Coturnix japonica: one gene and its partner. Each later gene encodes a partner of the first gene's protein in a complex. Links are inferred from orthologs where the notes say so. Each region holds a gene or a part of one and is shown on either strand. Other genes may lie near its edges. The genes, in order: NRP1 and PLXNA4.

Region 1 (3,823 bases):
AGCTCTTCACTACAAAGGACAATGATTCAATATAATTATGATTCAATATAATTCTAGATGCCTATTGAATTCTAATGCCTATGTGTCAGTACTCTAGTATTGATGTCTTTTATAAAACAGTTGTCATTATTATATGTTGCTATTAAGACTACTATTAAAAAGGAAGCAAAGATTCCTCAGATACATCTGTCTATTTTCTACACATAAAATGGCATTCATTCTTTCACATGCAGTAGGTAGCTTTTTGATCATTTGACCTATGTTGGAATTCAAATCTAATAATATATAATTGCATGTTAATTAGTTCTGACAGGCTATCTACATGTGAATTCTTGACAACTTTCTTCCAGGCACCTTCAGAACATGAGATCAGGTATTGCCCCTTGAACCACCTCAGAGTTACAGTCTTCACTAAGAAATAATAGCAAAAGCATTTACGTAGAAATTACCCATCAACTCTGGCTTATGTGACTGCAACATTGTCTTATGCGACTGGCACTCTAACCAATGGCCAGAAGGGATTCTGGACCATCCGCTAGACACAAGTGTAAAACAAACATAACAGGGCTTTTAGGACTGCACTAAAAACACAAGCAGCTGTCAGTTTTACCTGTGCTTTTGGGCAATACAGTCAGTTTTTCCTATGGCTTCGGTTTTCTCTGTCCCCAGGTCAGTAAGAAGGCCAAGTTTTGTTCTCATTCAAAATAAGGGCAGACAAGTGCTGACTTCTTCCTGAAGAAAGCTTCAGACCTCACAGTTATGAGCTGGAATTAGCAGCACTTCTAATCAGTTCAATAAAGATTATTTTTATTGATTTGTAATTTAACTATTAACAGAAAGAAAAGTCCAAATCATTTTACTTTTTTTATATACATTTAATATTTTGTTGTTTATTCTCCACAGGGCCTTCTGAAGTTATTTTTTTTTACATAAATTAGTCCAAAAATAACTCTGTTTAATCATCTAGACTTTGAAACATTTCATGGGAAGAAACATTTCTTTGTGCAGTCAGTTCATTCTAAGGATCTATAATCTCCATGGATACTATATGAAGGTTTTGGTTTAAGTACAAATTATAACTTGTCCCATATAAGAAATATCAATGACAGGTGACACTGAAGGTATCAGACAAATGCAATTGAGAGCTATATTATGGCTGAAGAACCCAGAGTGCAACTCAGACAAGAGATTTTTTGTTTGATAGGTACCTTCGCTGACCTGCCTTCCCTGTTAAATTACATTGCAGTTTTGTCAGGAAGCAGCTCTCTTCTTTCTTTCATTCTTTCTTTCTTTTTTTTCTTTCTTCCTTTCTTTCTATTCTTATTCAATAGCAGTCTCCCTGGAAGAACTCTTGCAGCTACTGTTACTGGAGTTTAATTTATGCCTTTTGAAATAACTACAACTTATGAAACTCTGTCACTGGGGGAAATCAGATTGAAATTTTCTCTTGAATAGTTGGATTATTATTGTAACCACTTAAAAGGTGACAGGATCTTCACCTCAGTCATTTTTTTTCCCTAAGAAGTGTTGAAAATGTCACCCAGTTAAACCCCAGATCAGAGCGTCATTTAAAAACATGTCTCATTAAACACTCAGCTCTTGTTATGACCCTGATGGATTGGTTGCTACCGAGTTTATGAAAAATGAAATGCATTACTTTTCCGAGAAGCTTTAACTGTGTATTTTCCATTCTCATTTAGGATGTGGAAGTCTGACACTTATTAAATGGTTAGAATCTGGCCTACTTCTCACCTAATTCAAAGGCTAGAGAGTGAAGAAAGCGTTGAAATATCTTTTCTTTTTTAACAAGCAGCATTTGTCATGCTTTGCAGACGTTTGAAGGCAACACCAACTACGATACACCTGAACTGCGGACTTTTGAACCTGTATCGACGAGATTCATCCGCGTCTACCCTGAGAGAGCCACACACGCTGGACTGGGACTTCGAATGGAGCTGCTGGGCTGTGAACTTGAAGGTAATTGCTCTGCCAGAGATGAATGCCCTTTATTATTTTCAAACATACATTTGGTACTTGGACTACTGCTGAACACTGCTGTTCTTGCACAGGCAGCACATCATACTCTTGCTTCCGTGACTGCCATTAGTGCTGTTTCTTGGACTAATCAGTTCCTTCTGGGCAGACGTTCGAATATGCTGAAGGCACAAATATTATTCTCTCTCCCATCCTTTGTTGAATCACAGTGATATTCTCCACATGGTTTCTGTTCCCTCAAGCAAACTTATGATTATGCTTTCGAGAAGAATAGAGCTATTAGGAGAAAATGAAGACAGAAACTCGTATTTTCTGTTACAATGATACAACCCAGAAAGAGACATTTTCTGAGAATGAGAAGGGGGAAATTACACCTTTTGCTCCTTCAAAGGATGTGAAAGTCACACAAGACACTATGATAGGTAGTGATTACTTTTATGGACAGGATCTGTGTTCTTCCTTTTTAAGGGTGAGGAAGGTCTTTTTTGTTCCACACCATGCTTTCATTTTGCAATAGTATGTAAAGAGATGAAAGACCAGGAAAAGCAAAGTTTAGACATTTATTCTTGGACTATGACATGAAGTATTATTATGCTTTGATTTTTGTTATATAAACAATAATTATTTAACATCATAGATAACTACAGAGAGCACTACATGAATTTCACAATGTTATCTGGTGGATGAAGGTACAGTGGCTTGGCTTATAAATCACAGAGCTTAGCAATATGCATCTAATAACAAATCATATTATCAGGGGTATCATATGATACCTCAGAAAGAAGTTGCTGAACAGGCTCCCAAGATGCAAAACTGCTCTACCTCCACTTCTTTCTCACCATTTCATTCCCACAGCAGAGGAGTGGAAAACATTACTGTGAGAACTGCTGATCTCTCTGTTGTTTTTTAGTGAAGGCCAAATTGAATAAGTGTGCTTTTTACTTGGCCCAGAAAGTTGGGAGTTTGGAAATGCTTCTTAGTTCCTGCAGGAAGTCCTCATTTCCTGTGAGAATTCTTGGTTCCTGCAGACTATTGTACTGCTTGCTCAGAAAAGAGAAAAGAAAACTCAGCACCTGCCCTGTGTAAACTTACAACCCATGGGTAATGTCCTCCTGCTACAGGGGTCCTGTAGCCACCTTCACATCAAGAAGTAAGGTTATGGATCACCTTACAAGAACATGTGGCTCAGTGACATGGAGGAGCCAGAGAAGACTAACTAGGCAAACTGCAGCAGCAAGTATTGTGTTTCCCTGTTGCCGTGAGCAACATGGGACACATCTACTTGCATTCATCTTCCCAACTCTAGAGCACTTCGGAAGGTTGCTCACCTACAGGTCATCCATGGACAGGCAGGGTCAATTTCCATTCGCCCACGGGAGAAACATAATAAGAAAAATTCGTTGCATAACTGTATCTTTTGGAAGGAGTTGAATGAAGAGAAGTCACTTGAGATTTACTGAGGAGGATGGATATTGAGATGAGAAAAGAAGCATGGAGCTAGGCGCAGACAGGAGTAAAAAATCAGATCTCCAGCAGTAATGAGCAAGGAGAAGCTTTGTATCTTACAGAGCATCCCAGGGGGCCTATAGGAATTGATGGCAGAGATGTAGGCAAGCTTGAGGCTATACAGGGGCATGAAGATCAAGATAAAAAAACTTGACTTGATGTAGAAAGCTAGAAGGAGCTCCCAGAGGGGCTTTCAAGGAGATATGGGGAATAGGTGCTCTGAATAACTTGTAACGGGTGCAGAAATGTTTCTTTAGTGCTAGCTTATACCTGTAAAGCACAGGTTGTGGTCCAGAAAATCCTAGTTTCATCCCAGGATAGA
Region 2 (3,823 bases), on another chromosome or scaffold:
CTACTTGATCTAGCTGTAGGTGTCCCTTGTTCATTGCAGGGAGTTTGAGTAGATGACCTTTAAGGGTCCATTCCAACTCAAACGGTTCTATGATTCTATGATCTCCCCTTCCTAATTATCTTTTTCTATTTGGTTTTCTGCCTCCTTAATCCACTCTATTGCTTCTACAGTTCTTTCAGTGTCAAAGTCTTGGGATACAGGTAAACCAGGGAAAGCAGTTTCCATTCTGCTCCTTACCCTGTAGCACCTAGATGGAGCCAGCACTTATTGGGAAGAGGCCCCAGAGATCCTCAAGTCAGCAGGTCTTTCTTATTTCCAGCTCATTTGCTAATTAACTGCTTCCAGATGCATTACAAAATCCTTCTCTTGTTATTTTTTTTTAATACTACATAGTAACCTGGGGATAGACGATACTAAATGTTCAAACAAGTGAGTTAAAAATAATTATTAGAAGGATGAGTGGTAGTGGTTGGTTGATTGTCTCAAGCTGTTTAGTAAGTAATTTATTTTCAGTTTGCAAAAACAGTTAAGATCTCTCATTTCCAGAGTGAAAAAGTAACGATTCTTTATGGGGACTTGCATGACTTGTTCATTTAAGCACACTAACTTGGATTAAAGCACCAAAACGAGGTGGTTAATACATTCTTACAGCAGAGGCATGTATTGATCTGTGCTGTCAGTCTCCTGCTTCCAGGAATGTTTTTTGGAGGGATGAAAGAAATGTGGAGGAATGAGTTCGAGGTTCTCATTTAGGACTCACTGGTGTAGCACATAAAGGGATGAAGTATACCCACGGAGCGTGGCTTGATTTTGATCCATAGACAGAGAGCAGGAAAGGATTATGCCCACTGTAGAGTGTGGAATCCAGGGTTTAGTGTTGAGATCCTAAATTGTTCTACACCAAACATGTTTCACCAGCCTTTCACAAATGAGACATACACATCATCTTATCCACTGCCCTGTCTCTAAACGATCTCACCTCCCAAACCCCAGGATCCTACTGCCTTAGGACATCATTGAAAATAGGTTCCAGCTCCGTGCTTTCTGACACCTTCTTCTATCTGTGGTTCAGTGGTGATGGGTTGATGCTGGACTACAGTCTTTTAGTGTTGTTTTTTTTTCCAACCTTAATCTTTCTGTGATCTAGTTCTTCAGACCAAGACCCACCTCCATGCTCACCACCTCAGTTTCTGTCTCACTGTATCTCTTCATCTCCTCAAAACAAGACACCTGGACCCCTTTCTCTCATTATTTTAGTACTGTCTTTCCCAGCTCATTAAGCAGGGTCCCAAACCCATGCCTCATACTCCTTACATTGCACCTTCCCTGTGTTTAGGCAGCTTCTGAAGTGCAGCTGGTATGTTGTTGTCTGCTGGGACGAGGAGATAAAGAGACCTACATAGGTCCAGACCAACAAGAGACCCATGTAACCCCATGCTTTCCAACACTGACTCAGACTATTTTTCTCTTTAGGCAGGTTTCTTGCAGGGATTAAAAAGAGATGTTAAAGGGGGATAGAGTGAGACTTCAGTCTGACAGCAATAAGGATACAATATGCTATGATACCACATCCAGGCATCAGCAATTTCCTCTGGATGTGCTGTTCGGAGAGAGAGTAGCAGAGCTTGAAAATAACCACCTGGCTGTGGTTGGAATGTCTGTCTGTCTTCCTAACTATCGAATGACTCTCTCTCTTAAAGAACTATACTCCAAAACGTAAAACTTTTCTTTCTTTTTAATGTTCTTTGCTGTTGGAGACAGCTTTTCTGTATCTCAGAGCTGACTTGTATTTGTTGTTGAGTTATATAGCTGGAAGAGATGGAGGGCTAAGAGCAGAGAAGTAGCACAGTGTGTATGACTCACTTGGGAATGTCCTGACAGTGAGCAGTGAAAGAAAGGTATAAACTTTTTTTCTTCTCATACAGGTCCCTGGCTATAGGCAGGAACGGGTGGAGAAGGGCCTCAAGCTCTTTGCACAGCTCATCAACAACAAGGTTTTCCTGCTGTCCTTCATCCGCACACTGGAGTCCCAGCGCAGCTTCTCCATGCGCGACCGTGGCAATGTGGCCTCGCTCATCATGACAGTGCTGCAGGGCAAGCTGGAATATGCCACGGATGTCCTCAAGCAGCTCTTGGCTGACCTCATAGACAAAAATCTGGAGAGCAAGAACCACCCCAAACTGCTACTCAGGAGGTAAAGATATCCAGGGCTGGGCAACCTGCGACCCACTATTTAATACAAGCATGCAGTTCCATTTTGGATGAAAATGATGCATTTGCTTGATTTTGGTTCATGGAACAGAGTATGAAATTATATATAGCCATAGTTCATATGACCCTGTAGAGCTGGCATGAAGCTGTTTGCAGGGAAAGGTGGATAAGGCATGTAGAGATGAGTGAAGGCTTTGCTTTCCATTACTGGTTTGCTGCTCTCTTCCTTCAGCCAGTGATTGGAAATTTTACTCCTATTGCATTATCTGTATATTTTAATGTGAATCTTCAGAAAACTTCATAAGAGCAGCATGAGGCCACATTTCATAAGCCTTATTGTGGACTTGTGCTAGACCAACAAGTATATGACATAGTACAGGCTGTGTAATTTACTTGGACTATGTAGTGAGTAAATTGGAAGTTGCCTTATCATGCCTGAGAGGTGGACAAATCTGCTGTGCTTCAGGTTTCTGAGTTACCTACATATGTAGTCTGTGTCCGCTGCATTGTGTGATCTCCTGTCTCTTCCTGATCATTGGCTTTTGGAGCCAGTTGAACCCAGAAAGCAGAGCTGAGCAGGACAACAGAAATGGTTTCATTTGGGTTTGTGCTTCACATTCTAATCTCCAGAATTGTGTGGAAAACTTGAATATGCTGCTCTGTAGTTAATATAGTTTCCTTGCTTAGGGAAAGGCAGCATTTTCTCCTTTTAGGATCATATTAATCTTCTTTCTATGGTCTGAACCAACCCTTCTGCTTGAAGTCAGAACTTTAAGTGAAAAAGGGGATGGATGGCCTTTGCCACTGCTCAGAGCAGTGTTTGAGGTGCTCAGAGCTGATTATAATGGATGGCTCAGGCAGAGGAGAGGTCTGTGGTGCCTGCTGGGAAAGTTTTCTTCTGACCCACTGCCCATCATGAGGTGCCAGCAAAAGGAGGAGCAGCAGGCATTTCTTGGCATTCAGAGTAGCAACACCAGGGGCAGAAAATGGTCTTCACTTCAGCATTGTTTGACACCCTGAGTCCTATAGCCTGGCTGGCAACCTCCCTCCAGCAGTCCTCAGCCTTCCTCTCTGTGCTTTACCTCTGATGCTTGTTGTCACTGCCTTCTTCCAGTTATCCCTTAATTTATCTTCACCTTTCTTTTCCCCTCTCTCCATCTCCTTATCTTTTCTGATTGTTCATCCCTGTCTTTTCCTGAGTCCCCCATTTCCCCCTTTTCAGCGTCTTCCAGCTCTTTTCTAACCGTAATCCCATTTGTTGAGAATGCACTTTGGCCTTTGTCAGGCCACATGTGAACGTATGTTTGGCTCCATTCCATGACCCTGACTGAGGGGAGCACAGGGCAGACAGGTTGGGTTTGACAGATGGAGTCACTAGAGAGAGACACAGCAATGATCACTGTAGACAAAAGAAATGAGACCGATGTTATGCTGAAAGACTAAGGAACCTAAAAAGCAACCTACAGCCCTAAGCAAGATACTTTGAAGATACTTGGTGATAGCCAGGTCTAGCAAGACCCATGTTTACTCATTCAAGCAGGAACTCTTGCTTTCTTCTTGAGCAGAAGCAGTCCATGCATTGGAAGCAACACAAGCTTATCGTGTGCTCCTG

Evidence for each region.
Region 2: the proteins of NRP1 (region 1) and PLXNA4 are in contact, whole or in part, in a cryo-EM structure (PDB 7M0R), measured with the Mus musculus proteins. The link is inferred for Coturnix japonica from reciprocal best matches to the Homo sapiens genes NRP1 and PLXNA4. Residues at the interface, in NP_032763.2 of Mus musculus: Arg80, Tyr84, Asp126, Tyr127, Glu128; in NP_786926.2 of Mus musculus: Glu272, Lys340, Lys343, Lys345, Leu349.

Annotation. Positions count from the first base shown.
Region 1 is NC_029517.1:12,644,556-12,648,378, forward strand, and holds part of NRP1 (neuropilin-1), read left to right. Parts: intron 1-1,832; coding exon 1,833-1,977; intron 1,978-3,823. UniProt on the Homo sapiens protein: Cell-surface receptor involved in the development of the cardiovascular system, in angiogenesis, in the formation of certain neuronal circuits and in organogenesis outside the nervous system. Mediates the chemorepulsant activity of semaphorins.
Region 2 is NC_029516.1:2,401,362-2,405,184, forward strand, and holds part of PLXNA4 (plexin-A4), read left to right. Parts: intron 1-1,925; coding exon 1,926-2,194; intron 2,195-3,823. UniProt on the Homo sapiens protein: Coreceptor for SEMA3A. Necessary for signaling by class 3 semaphorins and subsequent remodeling of the cytoskeleton. Plays a role in axon guidance in the developing nervous system. Class 3 semaphorins bind to a complex composed of a neuropilin and a plexin.